2 linked regions of the Drosophila melanogaster genome follow. The gene in region 2 interacts genetically with the main gene of each other region. Each region holds a gene or a part of one and is shown on either strand. Other genes may lie near its edges.

The links.
Region 1: of crm (region 2) and Marcal1, changing one enhances a phenotype caused by changing the other (phenotypic enhancement), as found in Drosophila melanogaster (one study listed by BioGRID).

The regions. Positions count from the first base shown.
Region 1 is NT_033779.5:4,949,178-4,964,390, reverse strand, and holds Marcal1 (Marcal1), read right to left. Parts: upstream 8,883-15,213; 5' UTR 8,809-8,882; coding exon 8,042-8,808; intron 7,984-8,041; coding exon 7,493-7,983; intron 7,434-7,492; coding exon 7,283-7,433; intron 7,214-7,282; coding exon 7,049-7,213; intron 6,984-7,048; coding exon 6,701-6,983; intron 6,640-6,700; coding exon 6,445-6,639; intron 6,384-6,444; coding exon 6,168-6,383; 3' UTR 6,099-6,167; downstream 1-6,098. Other genes in the region: CG34124 (uncharacterized protein), read right to left, coding at 1-86, 142-366, 424-846, 900-1,892, 1,957-2,584, 2,858-2,965, 3,017-3,661, 3,724-5,540 and 2 more; Jon25Bi (jonah 25Bi), read left to right, coding at 9,268-10,068; Jon25Bii (jonah 25Bii), read left to right, coding at 11,277-12,107; Jon25Biii (jonah 25Biii), read left to right, coding at 13,643-14,419; jet (jetlag), read left to right, coding at 14,718-15,213. UniProt on the Drosophila melanogaster protein: ATP-dependent annealing helicase that catalyzes the rewinding of the stably unwound DNA.
Region 2 is NC_004354.4:2,728,412-2,740,687, forward strand, and holds crm (cramped), read right to left. Parts: upstream 10,363-12,276; 5' UTR 10,257-10,362; intron 10,128-10,256; exon of another isoform or gene 10,079-10,127; 5' UTR 10,052-10,078; coding exon 9,511-10,051; intron 9,263-9,510; coding exon 9,059-9,262; intron 9,003-9,058; coding exon 7,426-9,002; intron 7,358-7,425; coding exon 6,985-7,357; intron 6,918-6,984; coding exon 6,766-6,917; intron 6,694-6,765; coding exon 6,592-6,693; 3' UTR 5,837-6,591; downstream 1-5,836. Other genes in the region: dwg (deformed wings), read left to right, coding at 134-523, 586-1,542; ttm50 (tiny tim 50), read right to left, coding at 2,105-2,295, 2,355-2,478, 2,538-3,066, 3,123-3,306, 3,379-3,637; CG2712 (uncharacterized protein), read left to right, coding at 4,154-4,759, 4,820-5,074, 5,145-5,789; Syx4 (syntaxin 4), read right to left, coding at 10,750-10,821, 10,886-11,134. UniProt on the Drosophila melanogaster protein: Polycomb group (Pc-G) genes are needed to maintain expression patterns of the homeotic selector genes of the Antennapedia (Antp-C) and Bithorax (Bx-C) complexes, and hence for the maintenance of segmental determination.

The sequences.
Region 1 (15,213 bases), on a different chromosome or scaffold from region 2:
TGTGCATTGGGATCCACCTCGAACTCGTAATTGATTTGCAGCGGCTTGGACTTCAGCCTGAGAGCGCAGATCTCCCGCTCCAGGCACTGTTGAATACATAATGCTTTAAGGATCTGAAATCAGTTTTGGAGAATTACCCACTTCAATCTGGTCCAGCAAGGATTTTTCAATGCCCCTCAGCTTCTCAATGTCGTAGGATAGATTTAGTGCATTCGGATTGGCCCACTTGGCATAGTTTTTGTTCTGAATGTCCAACAGAGTGCGAAGGATGTTGTTCTCTTCCCGGAGCACGGTCATTATGTTAACCTTCTCGGTGTTGTTCTGGGTCTCCAGGACCAGTTCCTCCTCGCAGCGAGCGAGTTCTTTCTGATGCACAATAGTTGGATATTAAAGAAATTGTTATACTTATGAAAGCAAATGTACCTGTTTCTCCAGGAGCTCTTTTTCGAGGGCCATAAGCTCATCCTCGGCATTGGTTTCCAGATCGAAGATGTAGCGCCTTAGGACCTCCTCCTCCAACTCATCCAGGTTGACAATAATGCCGAACTTCTTCATCATGGCCTGGCGAATCTCCTCCTCGAGCCGCGTTATCTCGAATCGCATGAACTTTATGTCCGTGTTCATGCGCCGCAAGTGGATGAAGTTTATGCGGTGCCAGCGCTTGGTGGCCAGTGTCTCCTCGCTTAGTTGATCCGCCCGGCGCCGCAGGTCCACTAGCATATCGGCGTCGAAGAGTATGGCTTTGGACAGGTCGCGGTAGTCGTCGCCATCGTAGAAATGCTGCAGTTGGTCCATACGCAGAATGGCGCTGATGTGAACCTTGTTCACTTCCTGCTGGCGGTTACGCTGCAAGAAAGGGAACTTCATCATGGTGACCAATCTCTAATAGAACTACTCACCCGGAACTGCAGCAGGGCATTCTTCTCGCGCTGGTACACCTCCTCGTGGAACTTCATCTTGATCTGCATTTCGGCGATTTCCTTGCGTTTGTTCTCCACTTCCCGCGTCAGTTCCCGCACATTTCGCTCTAGGTCGTGTCGGTCGGAGCGCATGGAGAAGGCCAAGTCGTATAGCGATCGATCCAGGCCGGTGGGACATGTGGCTTCGTCCAGCCTGATGGTGGTCATGTCCAGTGAGTCCAAACTCTTGTTGTCGGCCTGCTCGTCCTCGCTGGAGGAAGACGATGAGGAGGAGGAAGAGGAACTCTCGTCATCCCCCCTAGAGACCTTCGGTGGACGCCACTTCTTCTTGAAGATCCGTCGCAGGAAATCGAAGAACTTGTGACCCTTAACGGTGGTCGCGAATAGTACTTGGAGGGCAACGATCTGCTCGCCCAGCTTGTCGATGTTCCGCCTCAGCTCATCCAACTGCCTGTTGGTGCTATTGATAACCATCTGTAGGTCGTTCCGCGTACTCATTGCAGTCTTGGCGTTTAGTAGCAACTGTGTCTCTATCTCCTCGCTGTCGCGCAGGATGTAGAGCTCCTGATTTAGGCTGTTCATGAATGCGGTCATGAACTCGGCGTCCATTTTGACATGGAAGCGTCGTACCTGTAGCTTCTCCAGTGCCTTGTCAAACTGTCGCACCTCCTCGTCCACTTCTGTCCGTATGGCATTCTGCTCCACAAGCAGCTGGCGAAGCCATCGATGACGCGTCTCCATCATATAGGGCACCTGGCCATCATCATTCAACTCGAAGTAGGCCGGATCACTTTTGGGCGGCAGCTTTAGCAGCTCCTCGTCCAGCTCCGCATTGGGAAGACTTCTGTTCAGCTTTGAGATCTGTAGCATCGTGAATGCGGTGTGCTCGTGCAGCTCGGGTACATCCAAGCCGTGCAAACTGAAAAGGCTTACGTTGGCGGTGGATCTCATTGGAGCCATCCTGGCTATCACCTTGTTACATAGAAGATGTACGCATGCATGCTTAATTAAAAGTAGTAACATTCAGTTCACCCACCTGGTCTACACTGTGCTCCAGCGTTAGGATGTCGTCGATCTCCACTCCACAGCCGGGCGTATAGTGCTCGATGAGATTAAGTTCTGGGTACTCCAGGTCCATGTCAATTTCCTGAATCGGATCCAAGGGCTGACGGTCCGGCTCGGGCAGATAATTATGAATGACTGCCAAGCGGTTTCTCTTGGCGGTGATAAACTGGTCCAGCTCACCCTTGCGTTCACGCAGATCCAGCACCATCTGATTGAAGGCGTCCACCATCGCAAAGTACTGTTCACGACACTCCACCACCTCTATGTACTTCTGGGTCAAGGTTTCCGATGACTTGGGCTCGTAGTCCGAACCGATTTTCAGCTTGAAGTCACCCAGGTTGCGCTTGGCATCCTCGATCTGGGCATCGTCGTCGGGATGGTTACGATTGGGGTCCGGCTTCTGGCGCTCCAGCTTGTCCCAGTCGAAGATGCGGCGCACCTCGAAGATCTGGCGTTTTCGATAGCGGGTGAGGAGTCGCATCATCTTCTTGCTGAAACGCGGCTCAATGCTTTTCGGATCCCGGCCAAAGAAGAACGACTCCGGCGGGGGTTCCCCAATGGATTCGTCCGATCTCTCGGGCGCCACATAGTCATGCAGTCTGTAATCATTGGGTATTAGGTATTTAACTAGTGCCATTAAAGTTTAATCTATGATTTGTAATATGCATTGATGGTGTAATCAATAATTATGGTGGACAGGTGATCAAACTAGGAACTAAGTAGCTTGGATGGCTTACACTTCCGGTTGCTCTAGTACTCGATCCTCCGTGTAAAGGCTGCTTGTGTTGAATGTAAGAGTAAGATTTGTATGTATTGTATATATTTCTCGTGTTGGCAGTGTGAAGAGGTGGAGCCTGATTTTCGCCACTTACCCCATATCATGCTCCCGCTTCAGGCGGTCCTCTATATCCTGCTTGATCTGAGCATGCTCCTCGCCCAGAGCCTGCAGGCGAAATGTGGACACACCCGGCACGTTGGCACTAAAATCACAATGTTAAATCTGTTGGAATGATAGGAATCCTTTTACTTACCGCAAAGGAGCGACTGTGAAGGGGACTTGGACGAGTTCCTTGAGAAAGTGATTGTAGAGCTTCGTGTGTCCCACTTGGGCAAATTCCAAATCGTAGGCCAGATCCTCTCGAACGTCATCCAACTCTGCCTGCAGCTCATTTCGAATTTGCCGGGTGATACGATCGTCCAGCAGCAAGTCGGTATCCTTGGCCCTCAGACCCGGAGGTAGCTCCTCGTTGATCCTGATAATGTCAAAGTAGACGTTCTGGAGCGCTCCGATCTTACTGAGCACATCACGGTCATGTGCATCGGCTGCTTCCTGTTGCCGCCGCAGCTCCGCGTTGATTTTCTCCTGTTCAAGGGAGCAAGCCTCCGGCTCTATGTCCGGAATCTGGGTAACTCCCTCCGGCAGGGGCGGCAGTTTATCCCTCACCTTGTTCCTAACGATCTTCGGACCGTTCCACTTGTGCAGGAACACGTTGCCATCGTAGCCAATGGTGAGTAAGTGCTCACCACTGTAGCTAATGTCGATCTTGGGAATGGTGCCTTTCAGGCCGTCGTGCATGGGATAGATGCGGAACTCGGAGAGGTCGGTGAAATTGTCCGGATTGATGCGATTGATTCGAATACGTCCATTGTGAAGACCAAAGATGATGAATTCATCGCTGGAAAAGAGATAGTAAATGGATATACCAGGATATGCCACATCTCTAGCGCTTAAACTCACATTATGCAATACGAATGAATCTCGATGTCATCCGCCTCCGCTATGATGGTGGCTCGAGTGGGCTCCGCCGCATTGAACTCCAGCTCATAGATATAACCAGCATCGTAGCCCGCCATTGACACCCAAATTGTGTCTCTTAGGGTGTAACGCAGCCAGATTATGGCGTTGGGCACGGTCGGGATGTGAAGCGGCTCCTCCTCCTCATCCGGTTCCGAGTCCGCCAGCGCTGACTCTATGTCAATTTGCAGGCCGGGATTGGCCTTCTTCAGTTTCTCCACCTCGTTCATTTTACGCTCTCGCTTCCGTTCCTTGCGCTTCTTCACGTTCTCCCGATGGATGTCCCGCCGGATGCGGCTCTTAATGGAAGCGAACTTCGTGTGGCGCATGCGCGAGTTTTCTGTTATGTTATAGGACAGGTAGGTCTCGTGATCGGTGACCTCTGTGCGGATGTTGTACTCGTACAGGTCACCACTCTTGCAACCAACCAGAACGACGGTGGGTTCCGTTTCGTGCCAGTAGAAGCAGTTCGGAATAGCTGCAAACTGCACAAATCCCAGCGGACGCATGTCCACCATCTGATGCTCATCCCGGCTCAATTGGTAAATGAATATGCTCTTGTCGGCGCTGCCGGTCAGGAGTAATGAGCTGTTCCGGCTTACAGTGAGTGCAGTAATCGGCGATGTGTGCGCCTTGAAGGCTCTTACGCGAGTCATCTTGGGCCTTTCCCCGTTGCTCAGGTCGAGATACATTTGCCGCAGAATACCATCCTTGAAGGCAGCCACCAGCTCGGTTCCCTTCACAGAGATATTCGTATCCAGCCAGATCACATCGACTCCCTCCGCCGGGAACTCTTTCTCCAGGATCAGACGCTGTTCATCGTATTGGTAAACGAACAGCTTTCCGCTCTCCGACATGCAGAGGAAATGGGGCGATACTGGAGACATCTGGGCTGCCAGTACCTTTCCGCCAATGCAGGAGTAGAGCTTTCTCGGTTTTTGAGGAACGTCGTAGGTGTTAATGTCGCAGAACCATATGCCACCGTTACCATCCTGGGCGTAGTGGGTGAAATCGGACTCATCAAAGGGATGTATCTTCTGCATGCAACGAAGCTCCACGTCGGCTATCTTGAACTCGTAGATCGGATCGATCTCTACAAACAAATCGTCCTCTGGCGGATCGGCCAAGTCGACCGTTTCCCAGTACCAAACGCGCACATAACCGTCCATGCCCACCGTCGTCACCTCACCGTTCTTCATGGTTATCCTCGTAATCGGTTTGGTGTGGCACGGTTTTCGACCCTTCCGGCAGATCTCGAACTTTATGAGCCCCGCCTGCCAGAGCAGCATGTTGCCCCAATCGCTGCCAGAGATCACATTCTCATCCTGCAGCATGTACATGGCATAGATATCGCTGAAGTCCGTCTTGCCAAAGCGACCCAGATCTCCTTTCAGCTTCAGGCCGGTAAAGGTGTTGGCCATCTTCCAGAACTTGATGTGGCTAAGCCCGGAAGAGCAGAGCAGGATGGGATTGTGCTCCGAAAAGTGCACGAACAGAATGTCGCTCTGAAAGGACTTGGCACGCAGGACAACCTCAGCGTTCTCCCAACGCCAGATAGTTATGATGAAATCCGGATAGCCAGCCTGCGAGGCGAACAATTCCCCCGTCTTGTTGTAGGAGCCCGCCGTAAAACAATTCTGAGCTGCATTCAGTAGCTTAACACGGACATTAAGCGATGGATACTCGTAGATAAAGACAGTGGGACGAGCTCCGTTCTCGCCCACCGTAAAGAGGTTGGTGTAGTCAGGATGCTCGTTTTTCTGGCAATGGAGTACCATTAGATCATACAAAGGTACTCAAAGGTACTAAAAAGCTCACCGTTATAAAGCCCACTCCGCAGCCGTAGACCGTTTCCTGAAAGGAAATCTCCTGGCGCGAAATGCTAAAGTAGTTGAGGAAGTTTCCAGAGGCAAAAACCAGCGTGTCTGAATCCACAAGGACCAAATTAAACAGCTTCTTACAATCGTAACCAAAGGAGTGTCTGCAGCAGAAGTTTTCCAATCAAGAAAAAGTTATCAACTTCCAATTCCGTACTCACTCTACACTGACGATATCACGCGGAAAGGATACGTCGTTCTCATTCTCCAACTCCTCCTCTTCGCCCAGCAGATCAGATTCCTGCGTAGTATCCATATTATTTAGCTATTATTGTACAAAACTTAACTTGCTGTGTATTTATTTATTTGATACAAGTGAAAAGGTTTACTTGAGTGTTTGTTTGCCTGTTGCCAGGTCACATGAAACCGGCTATCTGAAAAGAGTTCTGCAAACGTGGAGCATGCGCAGAAGTGCGTTCAACAAGTTTCATTCAATGCTATAACATTCTCAAATACAATTTATTACGATTAACTCAATAAACATTCTAGGATTAAATTCCATTACACAATCTAAATATCTAATTCCAAAAAAGCCTCATCATCATCATCGTTAAAGAACGCCGCGATATCCGACTCAGCCTTGTTTACTTTGGTCATTTCTGTATTATTATTTTGCTCAGGCGGCTCTTTAGCTGGAATAGTTGAAAAATATTGTTTTATGCTATTCCTTTCCGGTTCAAGGGAGGTGGACGTGGAGGGCGAGAAGTACTCCTCGATCTTGTGGGACTAAAAAAAAAGTTGAGTTAGCGAAAAATACATTTTTCAAAGTATTCAAAATGTATCTTACTGAAGTGGGTGCTGCTGTGTGTGTTGCTTTCTGAAGATTTTCGGCAAAGATGCCCACTTTACTAAGCACCTCTTGCTTATTTTTCAGCATGTTCCAGATTATATCGTCTGCCGTATTGTGAGCAATCAGATAGCGACAAATCACCGGTTTTGTCTGACCAATGCGATGGGCACGGCTCTCCGCCTGGGCAAGAGTCTGCACATAAAATAAAACTAAATTTAAGCGTTCTCCAAGTTAACATATAAGCGAAGCTTACGCTAGGATTCCAGTCCAGTTCAGCGAACACTATGATCTCAGCTGCAGTTAGCGTTATTCCTGAATTGCAGGCTTTTAGGGAGAGCAGGGCCACCTTACAACTGCTCTTCTTTTGGAACGTGTCCACAGAATCCGACCTGTGATCGCTACGCGTTTGTCCATCAATACGTATGTAGTGTACTTTCAATCCACTGAGGAAGTCGCTAATGGCGTCCATCATGACACGATGGTGGGCAAAGATAATGAACTTTTTCTGCTCCTTAACTAAGGTTTTTAGGTAGGCGCTATAATGCAGGATAATACATTAACTTCAGATGGTTTATATGGTTTTAATGATTTTTTTTATTACCAGACCGCTCGAGTTTTCACTTCGGCAGTGCGTGCATAGAAACGGAGTAAGATCTCTTCCGTTGCCCTGCCTTTAGCGGTTTTAAGCTCTTTGTTAAACGCATCCAAGGTTTCCTTGGTCTCCGCATTGGTCCACACTAGGGCGGGATCCAGGACGACAGTCTCACTGCGGATGGAAGAATGTTCGAAATGTTAGAAAATATATTATAGATATACAACAATGTGAACAACCCACCGGTTCTTCTCAGCGAGTTGAGGCAGCACCTCCACTTTCGTTCGCCTCAGCATATATTTAAGGTGAAGTATGACCTTCAGTTCCTCCAAATTCGATTGACCATTGGCATCCCAACCAAAAGTTGACTGCTTTCCATCACAATAACGAGTAGCTGTGAATGTGTTAATCGATATAAGCGCGTTCTAAGGTAAACAGACATTCTTGACATACTGAACTCCATGAAATTCATGAATTTGCCATCAATCATTTGCAGTTGCGTAAAAAGTTCCAATGGCCGGGAGAGAGCCGGTGTGCCGGATAGCAAAACCACCCGCTTCGCCTGATCCGTGAGTCTTTTGGCCGTTGTCGTGCACTTGGCCTTGCTGTTCTTCAGCGTGTGCGACTCGTCGAAGATGATGAAACCAAACTTCCGCTGCATCAGCTTATCTTCGTGTCGCTCCATCATATTGTAGCTGGTGATTAGCACCTTGGCCTCACCCACATATAGCTGATTGTTGTTCAGCACCTGGACATAGTGGATGGGCACCTTCGGCAGTAGATCCATTATGTGTTTCGCCCAACTGTCTCTCGTAGAAGCGGTGGTGCAGACAAGCAAGGGCCAATCATCCTTGAAATAGTCGGCTACGGCCAAGGCCTGATAGGTTTTGCCCAGGCCCATTTCATCACAGATCATAATGCGTCCCTTTTGGGCTATGGCAAAGCTAAACATATGATAAATTTAGCGCTTTTGGAAGTACATAGCATACAAGCAATGCTTACCATACCCCATCCTGTTGGAAGGGCATTAGCTGGTCCGCCAGCTTCGGTTCTATGGAAGCTAAAACACTTCTTTCCGGAACTACTGGCGGCTGGCCGCAGAGATCCAGCACCTTCTTCGGAATGCCATTCATGTGAACATATGGCTTTAGATCCGCTGCATGAGTTTTCAGGGATTGGTAGTCCGACAGATCGAAACTCCAGATACGGGTTTGGCCATCGTAGCACTTGGTGGGCATGTTCTTGAACACGGTCACGAGCTGTTCGTGATATCCTGAGGTTTGGGCAGCAAACCGATGTGTGCTGATCAAGTAGAGATTACACGTGATGGAGTTTCCGAGTAGCACAGCCACCGGTTTCTCCTTATCCGAACTCAGTGAAAGAGTGGGCTTGTTTCTTTCGTTCCCTCCATTTGGCCGCTGGTAAGGATGTGCTGCTCCGCGGGACAATTCCCGGTTGGATGTCTGTTTGATTGCTTTCAGAGCGTTCAGAAAGGATGAGCTCTTGTTGTCACCGGGCGTGGGACCGCTCCTGTTGATCTTCTTCTGCTCCCCCGTCGGTGATCGGTAGAAATTCAATGGGGATTTGGCCTGCGGTTGATTGGGATTTGATTTTCCATTATTCGCATGTTGCGTCGCACCTGTTGCAGACGTTGTTGATTTTCCATTGGTTGCGGGTGCGCTGGCCAGCAGCTGGGATTTCTTGGCCTGCAATTTGGCCAGCGCAATGCGCTTCTTCTCCGCTATCTCGGATGAACTGCAAGTGGACATGCTGCGACATCAATTGATAAAATTTGGCGGAATATATAAACAATAAATGCATGGCTCTGTGTGACCAGGTGAGCCATTTTTCAATCCTTACATCTTACATTGGGCGCCTATTTTAAATTATTTTTACATTTTACATACTCTATGTATACATTATTATGTATATATTATGTATAAATTATTTAGTCCTTAAATTAAATTAAAATCATTTCTGTTTTCTTATATTGCCTACGTCGGTTGTAAGCGAAGATAATCAGCTTAGAATTTTTCCTAAAAGCGAGTTATTATTTTTTTTGCCTATCAAGATGTTCTTAGACGTGCTATCAATTAATTTCCATTGGTATCAGAGGGCGAATTTCTTAGAGATAGGATAACGCCGAGTGGGGGCTACTCCAGACAGCGATAAGGGGCGCAATAAAAACGGATGGAAGTCTGGCGCAGACCACGATTGATCCAATCACCATGAAAGTGTTCGTTGTACTGGCTCTGGCTTTGGCCGCTGTCTCCGCCGAGACTGTCCAGCAGGTTCATCCCAAGGACCTGCCCAAGGACACCAAGATCAATGGCCGCATTGTGAACGGATATCCAGCCTACGAGGGCAAGGCTCCCTACACCGTGGGTCTGGGCTTCAGCGGCAACGGCGGCTGGTGGTGCGGTGGTTCTATCATCGCCCACGATTGGGTCCTGACTGCTGCTCACTGCACCAACGGCGCCTCCCAGGTGACCATCTACTACGGAGCCACCTGGCGCACCAACGCCCAGTTCACCCACACCGTCGGCAGCGGCGACTTCATCCAGAACCACAACTGGCCCAACCAGAACGGCAACGACATCGCCTTGATCCGCACCCCCCACGTGGACTTCTGGCACATGGTTAACAAGGTGGAGCTGCCCAGCTTCAACGATCGCTACAACATGTACGACAACTATTGGGCCGTCGCCTGCGGTTGGGGACTGACCACCGCCGGATCCCAGCCCGATTGGATGGAGTGCGTCGACCTGCAGATCATTAGCAACTCGGAATGCTCCCGCACCTACGGCACCCAGCCCGATGGCATCCTCTGTGTGTCCACCTCCGGCGGAAAGTCCACCTGCTCCGGTGACTCCGGTGGCCCCCTGGTTCTCCACGACGGTGGCCGCCTGGTGGGTGTCACCTCCTGGGTTTCCGGCAACGGTTGCACCGCTGGCCTGCCCTCCGGATTCACCCGTGTTACCAACCAGCTGGACTGGATCCGCGACAACTCCGGCGTTGCTTACTACTAAGCTTGATTATCTTTATTTTTAAATAAACGAAATGCATAACAATTAATTTGACGCCTTTATGTTTCTGGTTTTATTACATTTAAAAAATCACATGGATATTTTTAAGTTTCAAAAGTCTAGTCATGCAGAATCCGAATCTATAATAAACGTCTTATAGATAAGAAGCCATGAATGGCTAAGAAATGGGATGGTTTCTTGGCAATCGAACACTTGTTATCTGGAAAACATGATTAAACACTATATATGTAGCCATGATAGACATAAGTAGGAATACTAGCAACTGTGGTCTATACTAGTCAATAATCAGATAATGAAATAATATATATATTTACCAAAAGATTATATATTCCAAAGGATTATTATACTGACAAATCACAAAAGCGAAGTGATATATTTATTAAATATATGAAATATATTTCTAAAAAATAATACAACTTTCGTCTTTAAAATATTTCACTTTTTACTTGTAAATGTTTAGTTTATTGTTTTAAATTTTAATTTTAATAACTTTAATGGGAGTGCGTTTAATATTAAAACCTAAACAATGTAGCGCACTTACGAACGTTAAGTACAGTATAATTCGCTTAGCTGCCTCGAGTACTTTGCACAATGCCTCGATGCAGGTAACTTAAAAATGCAGCTAACTTAATTTTTTTTTTTCTATTTTCTATTTTCTATTCACACAAAAAAATGGAAAAATAATGCAGATATCTTGCCGATGCAGCTAACTATCGATGCAGCTAAGCGAATTATACTGTAATACTACTTTTGAATGACCACAGGACGTGTGCCCTAATCTCTGTGCGCTCCTGTTCGAGTGTTCCATTGAGTTGTGGCTCTGGGCATGAATGGGGGCTTATTGGCACCTATCTTAAGATCAGCTCCGAGTGGCCGCACGTCCATGTTGATAGGGTCGGACAATCTTCTAATGAATGAGTGGCAGTGGGCAATCGTCAGATTGAGTGGTGGCAAGTCATGAGCCGGAAAGTGTCCAAATCGGATGGGTAGATCATTGGAGTACCCTGTAATGATAGTGCCGCATTTTGGAGGCGTGCGAAATTAATTTGATAAGATTAGTCCGACCGGAGTGTTTAGAACTTTCGAGTGGCGAATGGTGAAGATCTCTAGCGATATGAATACGTCGGATTTGGGGGGTATATAAATCACTGCCCGTCGGCGGAGTATCCACTTGCACTCAAGTAATCAACATGAAGCTGTTCCTAACTGTCCTGGCCGTGGCCATTGCCTGCGCCGCCGCCCAGCCTGAGAAGGTGAAGCCGGTGCCCCTAAAGGACGCCGTCCTGGGATCCGGATCCGGCTCGATCGAGGGTCGCATTACCAACGGCTATCCCGCCTACGAGGGCAAGGTGCCCTACATCGTGGGTCTGGGCTTCAGCAGCGACAGCGGTGGCTGGTGGTGCGGTGGCTCGATCATCGGTCACACCTGGGTGATCACGGCTGCCCACTGCACCCACGGAGCTCACTCCGTCACCATCTACTACGGTGCTCTGTGGCGCCTCCAGGCTCAGTACACCCACACCGTGGGCAGCGGCCACTTCCGCCAGCACTCGGACTACAACACCAACAACCTGAACAACGACATCTCGCTGATCAACACCCCGCACGTGGACTTCTGGCACCTGATCAACAAGGTGGAGCTGCCCGATGGCAACGAGCGCCACGACAGCTTTGCCGGCTGGTGGGCTCTAGCCTCCGGATGGGGCAGGCCTTGCGATAGCTGTGGCGTCTCCGACTACCTGAACTGCGTGGACTCCCAGATCATCACCCGCGACGAGTGCTCCAGCGTCTATGGAACCGATGTGATCACCGACAACGTCATCTGCACCTCCACCCCCGGCGGCAAGTCCACCTGCGCCGGCGACTCTGGCGGCCCACTGGTCCTCCACGACCGCTCCAAGCTGGTCGGTGTCACCTCCTTTGTGGCCGCCAGCGGCTGCACCTCGGGCCTGCCCGATGGCTTCACCCGCGTCACCAGCTACCTGGACTGGATCCGCGACCACACTGGCATCTCCTACTAATTTCGTTCTCGAAATAAACCCTTCTGCATTTAATAGATAATTGTTTTTTAATTCGATAGTTTAAATTTAAGGAATGGGGAAACTAAAATGGATTATCTTAAGGATCAAGATACTTGATTTTGTATGGTTTAGATTGATTTTCGATATCTTCATAGAATGTTTTCATAGAATACGAATGATATGGTTTCCAATTTATTATTATTTATGATTAAATGTTAAGCCTCATATTTAAATTAAATCAGAAAGATAAGTAGTGTTATAAGTTATAAAGAATTGCGTATTTCATTTGTTGTTAGTGCCAGTCTAGTTTATTTCTCTTACTATCTCAGTTTTCTATCAATTGATTTGGAGGGATTTGTTTATTTTTCAGACCTACCTTCGATAAGATTAAAGGGTTTACGCATGTGGCTAAAATCTCCATTTTGTTTAACTTGTTTATAATAAATAAAATTTTCCTTCATTTAAATAATGATAATTTATATTTCAGTTTTTCTTAGAATATTAAATACAGATGTATATTTTGTTTCTGTTTTATTTTGGATATATTTTTGTAAGTATTAAAACGATTGGATAGTTTAGAAACTTTAAGCAAAAGCTATATATAATAGCAAGCAAATAATAATTTACAGATTTGTACTAGATTTAATCTTATCTTCAATGACAGCTAACTTTTTTAGTAATTTTGACAATTTTGCTGTAAAGAAGTTCAATCAGCATTTTTATGAAAATAACACACAAGTTTTTAACATTTTTCCAACACCTATTTTATTATCACTTTCAAACATTTGTTTACACTTGAACAATAATTGTAAACTATTTTATTTTTAAGCACTTGTAATTCTTGTTATCAAAAACCTGTGAGTATATAGGGTTATCATACACTTGTGCATCAAGTTTTGGTTTGTTGTTGTTCTTATTAATTGTCTATTAAATTAATAATAGTCGAGAATCCTTCAGCCTAACTTGGCAACAGTTAGTAATAGATTTGAAAACAAGCGGAAAACCTCCAGCCATTATTACAGATTATCCTTATCAGGACAAAAAGCAGACATACATTTTATGTAAAAGTTAACAAACAACTTTATTGAAAATCATTCCTGTCCAAAGATCATTGTAAATTTTAAGTTCTGAAAAATGATGATAAGATAGAATGGTCTGCGCAAAGGTTGACAAATATATATTTTATAATTATGAATAAAACTACAAACATATTTGATTAGCCACAAAATATTATTCCATTTAGATAGATAATAATTTGGCTGTTTATTGCTGCATACTTAATATATGGTAAATAATAAAATAATATAATATATATAAATATATATAGTCTAGTGGGGGGGGTCTAGTCCCCCCTAGAGTTTCTTTGATTTCTACTACTGGCTTGGTAGAGTGGTTCCTCCATTCTTATCGATGACATCGTTTATGGGAGTCTTGAGGATTATTTACGAGCCCTTTTCGAGTTGCAGATATGGTTTTAGCTGAAAATGTGTATAAAAGGCTGCCATCCGAGAGTAGAATCCAGTATAAACATCAGCATGAAGGTGTTCCTAGCTATCCTGGCTCTGGCCGTGGCTTCGGCCTCCGCCTTCGACGAGAAGGTCTTCGTAAAGGACCTGCCCAAGGCCACCAAGATTGAGGGTCGTATCACCAACGGATACGCCGCCCCCGAGGGTAAGGCTCCCTACACTGTGGGTCTTGGCTTCAGCGGAGGCTGGTGGTGCGGTGGCTCCATCATCGCCCACGACTGGGTCCTGACTGCCGAGCACTGCATCGGAGATGCCGCTTCCGTGATCGTTTACTTCGGTGCCACCTGGCGCACCAACGCCCAGTTCACCCACACCGTTGGCAACGGCAACTTCATCAAGCATTCCAACGCTGATATCGCCCTGATCCGCATCCCCCACGTCGACTTCTGGCACATGGTGAACAAGGTGGAGCTCCCCAGCTACAACGACCGTTACAACAACTACAACGAATGGTGGGCCGTCGCTTGCGGATGGGGTGGCACCTACGACGGCAGCCCACTGCCCGACTGGCTGCAGTGCGTCGATCTCCAGATCGTCCACAACGAAGAGTGCGGCTGGACCTACGGCAGCGTTGGCGACAACGTCATCTGCACCCGCACCGTCGACGGCAAGTCCATTTGCGGAGGTGACTCTGGCGGTCCCCTTGTCACACACGACGGCTCCAAGCTGGTGGGAGTTAGCAACTTCGTCTCCTCCAACGGCTGCCAGTCGGGTGCTCCTGCTGGATTCCAGCGCGTCACCTACCACTTGGACTGGATCCGTGACCACACTGGCATCTCTTACTAATTTTTCTAAATAAATCGATCATTTTAAAAGCAATACGTTTCGAGAGTATATAAATCGGGGTCACCAACAAAATGTATGTGTTCTACACTTGTTTTACGCAGTGTAAAACAAATTTTACTCGTGTGTAGAAACCACGGCGTAAGATTACACAAATAATTTTTGTAGCAGTTTTGTGTGAATGCCAAAGCAACAGCTGATTGCTATCAAGTAAACAATTAATTACGTTTTTGCCGTGCACCAAAGGATTGAGTTGGGAGTGCTTTGTTGGTGCGTAGATCACGTAACCGGAGGCGGCAGCATGTGCACTCTGCACCCCGAGGAGGAAGCTCACCTGATGGCCATGGCCAGCGGAGGACAACCAACGCGTACGGCCAGTCCAAGGCCATTGGTCACCGCCTCCATTGCAGCACCACGATCGCTGTTTGATGTCTGCTGGGACGATGTGCTCATCCCGCAGGTTGCCGTCTACCTGTCGCTCAAGGATCTCTTCAACCTGCGCTGCTGCTCCCGTACCGCACAACGCTTTGTGGAGGCTGCGCTGGAAAAAAGGCAGGAACTTCATCTCTCTGGGAACAACACAAAGAATATCGACGTGGCCTTTCGAGTGCTGGCCCGATGTTGCCAACGATTGGAGGTGCTTCATCTGGCCTGCTGCCGATGGCTAACAGATGAGCTGCTGCTGCCACTGCTGGCCAACAACAAGAAACGCCTGTGGGCCGTCAACCTGAACGAATGCGTCAACATCACGGCCCTTTCGCTGCAGCCGATCATAGTGGAGTGCAAGGAGCTGCGCG
Region 2 (12,276 bases):
GCCAAAGGAGTGCAACCTGTACCTCCATACAATGGATAACTTGTCTGCTCTTGGTGACACTACGTCTAAATAGGAGATGGGCTTCATCAAGTCTAACTCCAAAGTAAAACCATAACACCTTCTTCATCCGCAGTTGGATGAAGAACTAGCAGAGGAGGATCGTCGCATCTTCGCGATGACCGTGGATGAGGAGGAGGAGTTTCTCACCGAGGAGGTGGATCAGGATGACGAGCTGTCGGAGGAGGAGCACCAGCTGGCACAGTCGGGCGACCAGCAGGAGGAACACATCACTATGGAGAGCGTGCATGAGTTTCAGCCCGCCGAAGTGGAGTATGTGACCATTAAGAATGAGTTCGAAACGATCGTCACGGAGGAGGATGAGTTCGAGGTGATGAACGACTCCGGCGCCCACGACGCCATACTGGACTGTCAGATGATTGTGATACCCGCCGAGGGAGCCATTGACGAGGTCATCGGCGAGGAGACCCTCGAATTGGAGGGGGATGGGCGCGAGGAGCATCTGGTGAGAAAGGTCAAATTATATTGCACTAGAATACCATTTATCCTCCATTCACCTACACACAGCTGCCGGAGGCGGAGGATGTCTGCGAAGATGAGGACTTCCTGGAGGAGTCGCTGGACTCAGCGCCGCCGACCGCTGGCGAGGCGCTGCCGTACGTGTGCACCGTGTGCCAGAAGGCGTTCCGCCAGCAGTGCCGTCTCAACCAGCACATGCGCTCCCACGTGGACGAGAAGCAATACGAGTGCGAGGAGTGTGGCAAGCGTCTGAAGCACCTACGCAACTACAAGGAACACATGCTGACACACACAAATGTCAAGCCGCACCAGTGCAGCATATGCGGCCGCTTCTATCGTACCACCTCCAGTCTGGCAGTGCACAAGAGAACTCATGCGGAGAAGAAACCCTACAACTGCGATCAGTGCGGCCGCGGATATGCGGCGTTCGATCATCTGCGGCGCCACAAGCTCACGCACACGGGCGAGCGACCATACGCCTGCGATCTGTGCGACAAGGCCTACTACGATTCGTCCTCGCTGCGCCAGCACAAGATAAGCCACACCGGCAAGAAGGCTTTCACCTGCGAGATCTGCGGCGTGGGACTGTCTCAGAAGTCGGGCTACAAGAAGCACATGATGGTCCACAGTGGCGTCAAGGCGCACAAGTGTGATGTTTGCGGGCATGCCTTCACCTTTACCAGCAACCTCAATGCCCATGTTCGCCTCCATTCCGGCGAAAAGCCGTTTAAGTGCGAGGTCTGCGTTAAGGCCTTTCCCACAAAGAAGCGACTGGCCAGTCATATGCGCGTCCACAACAAGGAGTCGCCGGTGACGGCCACCGTTGCTGTTCAGTCCATCAATCCTCCCAGCCGACAAGCGGGCGCAGAAGGTGCGACAGGCGGAGGTGCGACAGGTGGAAGTCCGACCGGTGGAGGTGCGACCGGTGGATCGGCAACCAACCTTCACATAACCGAAGTTCATGAGCAGCCGGTGTCCACCTCCAAAGTGGTGATGGTGCTGTGAGCGGCCACCAAGCCGTGGGAGCGGCTCTAGAATGTAAGCCTAGGCTAAGGATTAGACACTTAGTTCAATAAAACTGATTTTTGTTCCAGAAAAAACTGAAAGAAAATTCGACACTTATTTTTTACATACATAAAAATAATTTTGTTTTCACGATAACTATCTCAGCAGGTTTAGCCACTCTTATCCATCAATTGTGATTAGATAACGCACAGCAAGTTCTCCACTTTCGTAACGAAACACATGGATGTCTTGTTTTTGGTTTTACGGTTAAGTCGTCTCTTTATAATAATAATATTACGATTAAATTGCCAAAAAACAAAAACAAGCAAGTTTAGTTATTCAATAAAACAAAAACATGCGCCTCGTCTTTTCCCAAAGGAGCAAAAGACAGAGCGTGCCTCCCAATCCTGCTGTCTGCTGTCTGCTACTGCTTCCCACTAACTACTCCAAAAGTCGACGAAAAATATGGCCAGTGTGCTGCTGCAGGGCGTGTTTGTTGCTCCGGCGCAGGCGGAAGGTTAAGGTATGCGTATGGAACGGGTTGTGCGGTATGGCCAGCCTCCTAGCGGCCGAGAATGTTGCGCGACCACTGTTTGACCATTGGCTTGGTCTTGGACTGCTCGATGCGTTCCGCCTCCAGCATTTGTTCGGCCAGCTTGCGCTGGTTCTCCCGGAACTGGTTGATGGGATCGTCGAACTGGCGATAGTAGTGGAGCACCTCGCGCACGTCGTCCACGTTGTTCTGCGCAATTACTGTAGCGAATTGCAAGGGTCAGTGTTTAGCTTTCAATGTCACTTGTGGCGCAACTTACTCTTTAGGAAAGCGATAAGGTCCAGCAGTTGGCCATCATCGTCGTTGCCATGCCAGCGGGCCAAGCCGAATGTGTTGTCCGGATGCATCTTGGTGGCATTCGCATCCCAGTCCACAACAATCACCTAAAATACTCCCTTCTTTATAGATGATTGCAATAGAAAATACGTTGTGCATGACTTGCCTTCTTGAGGTCGCGATTAAGGTTGTCCAGGTTCTTCACATGATGGCCGTCCACAAAGTGCGTGGCATCCCTGACCAGGCGGTACATAATGTAGCCGTTGGGATCGAGGGCATCCAGGATGGGGAACACGGTCATGCCCTGTTCGGCGGTGAAGACGACAATTTCAAAGTCCTTGGCGCACTCGGCCAGAAAGTGGTCGACGCCGGGACGCTTCTTGAAGCGCCAGCCAGTTTGGTAAGTCCAGTCCGGATGCACCAGCACGTCCTTCATCTCCAGCACAAGCGTGTAGCGCGGCTGCACGTACGGCGGCTTGAGCGGATCGGGCAGCAGTTTGGCGCGCGACGGCTCCTGGATCATGCGCTGATAGTAGTGAATGCTCTTCCACATCCGCTGCAGATACTGCTGTACCAGCGGCTTGTGTGTGAACTCGTCCTCGATGGGCTGCCCGTTGGGGTCCACCTCGGGCTTGCCGAACTCGTAGACGGCCCAGAATCCAGCAGCCACGGCGCTGCCTCCGAATATTGCAAAGCTGCAGCAGGAAGTATTGTTATAATACTGTTACGCATTGAATGGGCGTCAGCTTACCCCAGCTTCATGCGCTTCCAGGCACGCTCGTTCTCCTTTTCCTCCTCCTCCTCGCGCTTCTTGCGCTCCTGCTCGGCGTTGCTGTCCACCTCCGGCGAGGTCTGAGGAAAGAGCTTGGCCAGCAGCGGGGCATTCGGTGCGACCTCGGGCGCATCATTGGGGCCAGTGGCTCCAGCTTCCTGCTCTGCGAAACGAAAGTGGCCAAGGATGAATGTTTAGGACTCTACTGTTTAGGACTCTACCGTGAATCACTTACTGGTTGTGCTGCTGTAGCCACGCGCTGTGTGCAGGATCGAGAAGAGCGCCGGAGCAGCCGCTGGCAGTGCTGTGCAAGTGAATAGTCGGAGGTACTGCTGCTGGTGGTGGAGGAGGTGGTGCTGGTGCTGGTAGTGTTGGTGGTAGTGGTGGTAGTGATTACCCAATGCGCGGTGCTGGTGGATGTGGGTAAGAAGACGCGGCGTGCTAAGGCCGCGCAGCAACTGGAGGACGGTGGCCGGTGCCATGCTCATGCTCATGCTTCCCCCTTCCTTCCCGATATCGAGTCCTAGAGCCGTTCACGAGTCCTGCTCGGATGGCAGCGACTTTTTACTTATAAAAAATTCCAACAAAAATTTCAACTTCCCACCGGCACGGCGTTGGCGTTAGGGATTTTATATACTGTCCACTGCCAGGCGGCACCAGGCGTTAGTACATTTAGCACGTGGCTCTCAGCAGGTATAGATCGGCGATTTTCAAGCCAAATCTGGCGGGATTTTGCAGATAACTGCGTGTGTACATATGTTGCCTCCGGCAATCTGACTAATCACAGTATTAAGAAAATTTTAAATTAAAATATTTTAAATAATATGGAAATACACAACCTTTGACCAACCACCAAGCCACTGTGCCTCTGGTCACTTCCAAGCTGATGTGCCTGGCTAGCTATTTTGAGTGCCACCACTAACGCATCAGCTGGACTTTGGCATCACTGTTCGGGACGCTAAATTAAGTTATTTATTTAAACGTGTATTATCTACTGTCGAGTTCAATCCATGACGACCATGTCGCCGCCGTCCCCCATGGACGCCTTGTGCCGCGTGTGCCACACAGCATCGCCGCGCTGCCTGCCGCTCTTCAAACCGCTCGACGATCCAATTTCCGGCAAACCAGCGACGCTGGCCAGCATTTTAAGCTACTGCAGCGGTCTGGAGATCCTAGAGGCGGAGCTCTTCCTGCCCCACCACATCTGCCCGGACTGCGTGGCCAAGTTGCGGCTCTCGCTGGAATTCAAGCGGAGTGTCCATCGCATGGACAGAATTCTGCGGCAGAGTCATGCGGACTTTTGCCGCAGCAAAAAGATCAGCGCGGTGAATACTAGGGCCAGGCTGTCAACCGAGATTCCGGAGGATTTTGTACTCGTGCTCGATGACCAGGAAGTGACTGAATATCCAGCAGAAACGATACGAGATGAGGAGCAACTCCTGGTCGTAGAATCAGATGAGGCGGAGAGCCGGCTGGAAGCGCCAATTGTACAGGAGGAGAGGCTGGATATTGCACTGGAACAGCACGAAGACGATCTCTGCGAGATTGTCGACGATCCGGATCCGGAGCAACGTAGGAGCAGGTTAGAAAGATCCGAGCCAGCGCTGCAATGTCCCGTGAGTTGCCTTTCCGAATTAGAAGTAAGTAATCACGAAATAGTTTCCCATCTTCGGCAGATTTGCGGCAAACAACTGGCTAGGAAGCGGACCTTTCAGTACCACATGAGGCTACATGGCCAGCCAAAAATTCGCCAAGAAGACAACGACCACTGCATTGAAGAGTGCCTCCAAGTGGAGCCCGTTTTGCAGGCCAAAGCTGGCGAAGATGTCTACGAGATTGTGGAGAAATCAGCACAGACTTCGGCGACGCAGAAAACTTTGCCCAGTGGAAGCCGGCCTTGGAAACCCCTCAATCCCTCCCTACAGTGTAAAGTAAGTTGGTCATCGCAGCTCGCAAATAACTCAAAGCCGAAGGTCATCAATTCTCCCTCCATTCCTTTAGATCTGTGGCAAGCAACTAAGCACCAACAACTCCTTCAAGTACCATATGCAGCTACATGGCACGGCCACGCCCTACGTTTGCACAATCTGCGGAGAGTCCTTTAAGACGCGAAACGCCCGCGACGGCCATGTCACGCTGCACGATCGTAACAATCCGAACAGGTGCCCCACCTGCTTCAAGGTCTACCGGCAGGCGTCCTCGCTGCGCACACACCTTCTAATCCACAGCGGAATCAAGCCATTCGAGTGCAGCATCTGCGGCAAGAGGCTAACACAGAAGTCGGGCTACAAGAAGCACATGCTCACCCACACGGGCGAGAAGCCGCACGGCTGCGACATTTGCGGCCGTCGCTTCCGCTACTCGAGCAATCTGATTGCCCACAAGCGCTGCCACAGCCAGGAGAAGCCCCACCCGTGCCCGGTGTGCCAGAAGCGCAGCTTCGGCAGCACATCCGAGCTCAACCGCCACATGCTCGTCCACAGCAGCGAGCGACCGTTCGGCTGTGAGCAGTGCGGCAAGTCCTTCAAGCGCCGCATCTCACTCGCCATCCATCGCCAGTCGCACAAGGCGGGCAGACAGCGGAGGCGGGCCGAGCATGAAGTGGGTGTCCAACTGGAGGAGCAGGACGAGAATGTGGAGACCTGAAGCTAGATCGCTTATACTATCGGCTTAATGTACAAATCGGGACATTTAGTTTTAGTTCAATTCGCTTTTATTTTCGGTACTTTCCTTCGCACAATAACAAGTTTTAAGTGTGTTCCTATTGTTAGGATAAATTTGATTGGTTTTCCCACCCAAAATAATGCGTGTTTCATACATACATATATATTATATATGGTCAACAAACATTTCGAGTCTTCTGACGATCCTTTCGATTTGATTTAATGTAATGAGCTTTAGTTTATCAGGTGGAGGCGGGAGAATCTCTATACATATGGAAGTTTCGATTGGGTTTTGTAGTTGATAGTGGCTAAGGGTGAGGGTGCGGGTGCGGGTGTGGGGACCTTAAGCTAAGCTACTATGCTGCATTGAACTTACGCGCTAGAAACCAATTAGAGTAGTGCGGAACGAGTGTGCGAGCGGGTAACAAACAAAATGGGGCTGGGAATTAAAAGTGTGGATTGGGAGCTACGCGTTACGCTGCCGCGCGATACATAAAGTTAATGTATAAATAAATATATATGTTCAGACAATGTGAGTGCTTGCTAATACTTGGCATACATAAAATGAGTATAGATCACAAAAAGTCGCGTAAAAACATAAATGTTAGTGGGTATAACGTGGGTGGGTGGGATGAGTGAGTAATGAGTAATATCAGTGGGACATGAGGCTTGGAGGCACACGTGGCTTTCCTTTCCATCGTCCAGCTTGGACGACTCTCATCTCAAGATCCGGACTTGGGTACACAAACGAAGAGGACACGACCGGATTGCCGCAGTGGCCACTGCTAATCTTTCTCCTGCTGCTGCAGCAGGGCGGCGATTTCCTGGAACTTGTGCCGAAAGTCCACGCTGCTCTCGCTGATCACCGACATGCTTGACGACGGATCCTGTGGATTAGGTTAGAGGTCGGTCCACAATGAATGTCGCAAGTGGGGAGTGTGGCATGCGTTCTGGCTTACCAGTATATCCCTGGTGGCATCAATCTCATCCAAATGCCCCAGCAGCGACGTCAACGAGAAGTCATTGATATTGTCCTCCAGCCAGCGTGCGTTGGATGTTGAATCTCTGAGCAAGTGCATCGGACTCATGCTGCCTTGGAAGAAGCTTTGAGCTGCCGCGAAGAAGATAATATAAAATTTATACAAAAATGAAAAGCGAAAACATGCTGATGCTCCTACTTGTGCTCCCGTCTTGGGCCGCCTCGTTCAGGGAACTGCTGACGTCCGTCCTGTTGGTGGCCACGCAAATGTCCAGATTGGGCATGTCTCGAGCGCTGACCTGCGTGGCCTCGTCGTTGAGGAACTCCAATGCCCCCTGATCCCCTGGCTCTTGATCCTGTGAAGCGGTCGTGGCATTCATGCTGGAATCGGGTTTCGAGCCAGAGGTGCTGATGCCAGCGGAACTTATGCCATCCACGCGATCAATCGGCTCGAAAAGGCCACTGTGGAGTTGGCGCACACTCAGCAGATCGTACGGACGATCGCCAGCGGATGTGGGTGGTAGGAGACGGCGCTGCACAAGCACCTGACGACTGATCTTTTGCCGTGTGAGCTAGAATGCACGCAATGAATGCAAATCAATTGGGATTTGGGTAACGCCAATAAGGAAAGACCACTTACCGCTGAGAGTTGGCGCACAGGATCGATGTTGGATATCGGCCGCCGCACTGGCAGCATCGGCGTTCGGAAATTGCCCTCAACCATGCCGCCCACTCCGCCGGTGGCCGTCGCCTCTGCCAGCTGCTGCGCCTTGGTCATCAGGTCCCGCTTGCGATCGCACGTGTGGCCGCAGTTGCATTGGCGCTTGCGCACGCGCTCGCTGAGATTGGCCACGAGTAGCAGGTGCTTCAGCTTGTTGCTCACCGACGATGTGGTGACGGCCCTGACGCGTTCCACGCTATCACAGTCGTTGGGATTGTAGGGCAGCGAAGTGCTCGAGGTGCTCGAATTGCTCGATGCGCTGACGTAGCAGTTGGAAGATGCGCCTGTTTGGTTGGCGTTCGAGGCGGCGCTGCCGGTTTGGGTGGCCACCGACGAGGAGCTAGGCGTTACCGTGTTGATTGTTAGTATGCTGGATGCCATGGCCGTCGAACTGTCGACCTCACACCAATAATACTCCAGCTCCAGCTTGGAATCCTGGCCAAAAACGACATACAGATCACCGATGGTTATATCCGCCGCATTCGCCTGCGTCCAGCCCTTGCGGATTCTCTTCAGTATATCGTCGCTGAGCAGTGGCTTAAAATTTCGAGCCTGTGCCGCGGCCGCCGCCTCCTTAGCTTCTTTGCGTTTGGAGCGGGCTACGGATGGAGCCGCCAAAGAACCGGTTACAGGAGTCGAAGGAGCGGGAGCTGCAGCACAGGAAGTTTGTAGAACAGATGTCGCCATGGCATTAGATAGATCCGCGTTGGCCGGATAAGCCTGTTGTACAGGATCGTGCGATGTTTCAAGCGCAACAGCAACAGTTGTGGTATCACCAGTGGTGGCCGAAAGAGCTGGAATAGTGGCTGCTTGCGGATGCTGCATGGCCTCCAATATATCGCCCAGAAACTCATGAATCTCCTCGCCCAGCTCATCACCGCTGCTATTCTCCATCTTCATCAGATTGCCCTCCAAGGGCCCGTCGTCCAAACTCTTCTCCAGCGGCGGGCTGGCACTCGATTTGGGTTTCTTTGTCTCCGGCGAACGCTTCTCGGAGCCGCTTTCCGTTCGTAGTCGCTTGTTGGCCGCCACCGACATGCCGGCCAAATTGCCCAAGGTCTCGCTGCGCACTTTGAAGCCCATGCGCTCCTCGTATGCCGTCAAGCAAATACTGATGCTGCTTAGGTAGGCGGTGATGCTGAGCAAAGGTCGGTGGATGGCCACTCCCGGCCGGGGCTGGAAGCACATTGAGGGATCCAGCGATGCAACTGACGGCTGTAATGGTTCCGTTTCATTGTTGTTGTTATTGTTGTTGGACGCAGCAGATGGCAGGCTGCTGGAAAAGTATGCACTCTTCTCCTCGTGCAAACGCTGATTGGCGCTGCGCCATTTGTACTCGAACGTCTTGATGAAGCTGATTAGTTTCTTGTGCAGCGGAACTATGATCCTGCCGCGTGGATTCTGCGCCAGTGACTGGACGCGTCCGAAGGCCTCCATATTGGCGGGAGTCACCAGCACCTCCACCTTGCTGGGCAGCCGGATATCCTCCAGTGAGTCTACGGTTTGTCATTGGGTATTATTGGGCAAACATATCGAATGGAAGCGGACTCACCATCCAATTGATTTAGCCGCCGGAGCGCCTTGCACGATGGCGTCTTAATGCGAATGTTCTTGCCCTTGCAACGCACGGTTATTTGGCCCTGGTAGACCAGCTGCTTCAGCTTCATGAAGTGCTTCTCCGTGAGGAACTGCAGCTTGCGCCGCATCTCGCCGTAGTTGATCAGCGTGTACAACTCCTGGGCGGGCTTTTTCAGTTCTAAAACGATTGATTAAAGTTACAAAATTGTCCAGCAATTGCGAAATGAAATGAAGGCCAATGGCAAAATGGCAACGCTAGTTGAATTCTAGGAATTAACCGAGGCACGAGGTTTTTGGCGCCGAAAATCTATTTTTCCGGGAAACCGAAACAAGCTAACTGTGACCTTATTAACGCATTATTTTGCCAATAGCTTGTTAATTTAACATTTCGGGACATGTCATATCCAGTTTGACCCTTCTTCTTACCCTCCGAGAAGCGCACATATTTGCAAATCTTGTGATGGGTCTGGTAATAGTGCTGGCGAACTTGGTCCTTGGTTTTGAAACTATAGTCGCTGTTGGCATTGCGGCGCTTCAGCTTGGCATTGATGCAGTTGGCCACCGCCTCGAAGTCCTTGCCGAATTCGTTGAGGGCGTCGAAGAAGCAGTTGCGCTCCACATTCGTCCAGGTGGTCTTCCCGCTGCCCGTCTTCAGCTGGCTGGGCGTCTTTTGGGCGGCCTTCTCCTCCTTTTTGTTCGGCTCCCGTTCGCTGGGCGGCGGTGTCATCGGGCGCGTCTGGTCCTGCTTCATCTTCTGTATGACCCGGGCACTGGCCCGCGTTCCCGGACAATTGTGCATGGTCACCGAGCCGAGGAGCTCCTCCTCGGGCAGCTTAGCTATCGAGTTAACAACTACTGCTCCTCCTCCCTTGCCATTTGGCAGCGGCTCCTCAATGGACACGGATGACGACGGCGGCGGCGGCTGCGTCAGCGGGGGTGGCGGCGGCTGCTTGGACAGTTCCTCCATGTTGGCCAATCCACATCCGCTTGCCTCCTAGACAGGATCAATCAATGGCAATATCAATTAAACTGCGTAGTCTTCCGGGAAAAGTGGGAAAATGGCGCCGAACCGTCCGATTGCTTGGTATTGTCGCTGAACCGCGCGCCCGGGCTAATCCACTACCGACCAGAAATGATCTCGAAGGCTTTCCCAAGCTCCGACGTGCACTCACCTACAAATCAGACATGGAAAATCGGTGCCAAACGACTATATAAAAAACTTATTAACGAGACGCCAGGGATGTTGATGTTGGCCAACAGTGTGGTATCAACAGTGCAGTGTGTGCTGTTAGGCGCGAAGTGGTTGCTGTTAAGTTGTTTTGTTTACCCGCAGCGATGCCCGCTCGGTTGTTTTACAGCCGCCAATGGCTAGTTCTAGCCGCAGCTTTCGTTTCCTGGCTGCTTTCCAGCTAAATGCGTACCCTTTGAACTAACCGTTATCTTATTTACATATTAAATTTAATAAAAATATACAAAATCCACACGAAACAAACAAACTAATGATTTAAAGGGACTCAGAATAGAGCACGCTCTCAATAGCATAAGCTTTTATTGATTTCCTTTACCTGTTGATTAATTGCAAAAATTCTTCTTGAGGTTTTAAAGTTTATTTTCTTACGTATAAATTTTAAAAATAGGCCAAAAAAATAAAGTTTCTCGCGTGCATCACAAATAAATACCAACAAGGAGTAATACTAGCAACACGGCTGCGAGTATCACGATGAGCATTATCTTTTTCTGCAAATACAAGGGAAAATGCCTTTTAGAACCCAACGCTCTCGGGGATTCGCAGTGTGCCCACCTTGCGCGCCTTCTTCTGGTGCTGCTCCGCCTGGTCCAGCTCGTCGGCGCCCTTGTCCACGTGGAGCGTGGCCTGCTGGGCGTGAAACTCCACCCGCTGGATCACCTCGCTCTGCTCCATTACCAGGGTCTGGATGCGCATGAACAGGGCGTGCACCTCCTCGATGGACTTCTCCAGGCGGCGCAGCTCGTTGAATCGATCCATCATTTCGCGCAGTGTCTGCCGCTCCTTTTCCGTTTCCTGCAGAAACTAAAAATACAAAAATTGTTATTATAAAGATTAAGCAAATGTCTACATTTATTTACTATTTGCAATACAAATACCTTTTGATCTTTACATTTTGTGTTAAATTGAAGGTTAATTAACAGAGAATGTTAGAAAGGGCGGGTGAAGATCTTATTTTATTGATTTACCGTTGGTCCTTGATCGTTTTCTCTTCAAGTCTTCCTCTTCCCTTTTTCTCAGCCACATCCAAATACGCACGTGATTTTTAATTGTGCGTCGCGAAATGAGGTTTGTTGTATTTAACATGGTTTAGATGTAAATGTAAGTATCGGCATTGTGATACGAAGCATTTGCGCGCTTTTTCTTTCTAAGTTCGCGGTAATTTGGCGTTTTCAATGGCGCGCGAAATATGTTTGTGTGTATAGAATGTGCGCGCTAAAATCCGCATTTACATATGTATGTATGAACATACACAATGTGTGTGTTGCGCTAAATAAGCTTCCACTTTTTTTTTATGGTGAACCACTGAGTTTCTATTATATATATAAATATGTATAGCTTAGCTATACGGCTAATGTAATTAATCTATGTACGTGATAATCTGTATTGCAGAACATAATGCTTTATTTAACATCCTCATTAACTAATAGATGATGTTAAAACAACAGCGGCAAACAGAGAGAGTGCATATGAGTTTGATTTACCGTTGGCCCTTGATCATTCCCTGTTTAAATCTTCCTCATTCCTTCTTCTTCCCGAGCATCGACATACGCACGTGTTTTTTAACTGCGCGCCGCGAAATAAAGTTTATTGAATTCAACGATCTTTAGATGGTGAAAAGTGTTACTTGAGTAAATGCGAGTATGCGCATTGTGATGCGAAGCATTTGCGCGTTTTTCTTCCTAAATTCGCTGTAATTTTGCGTTTTCAATGGCGCGCGAAATATGTTTGTATGTATAGAATGTGTGTGCTAACATCTATTTACACATGTATGTAATGTAATGTGTGTGTTGCGGTAAATTAGCTTCCACTTCTTTTTTTATATTTTTTGATGGTGAACCACTGAGTTTGAAAATATATTCTATTCAATATAAAAATGTATAGCCTAACCACTCAACCAATATAATTAATCAACGTATGTGATAATCTGTATTGCAGAACATAAT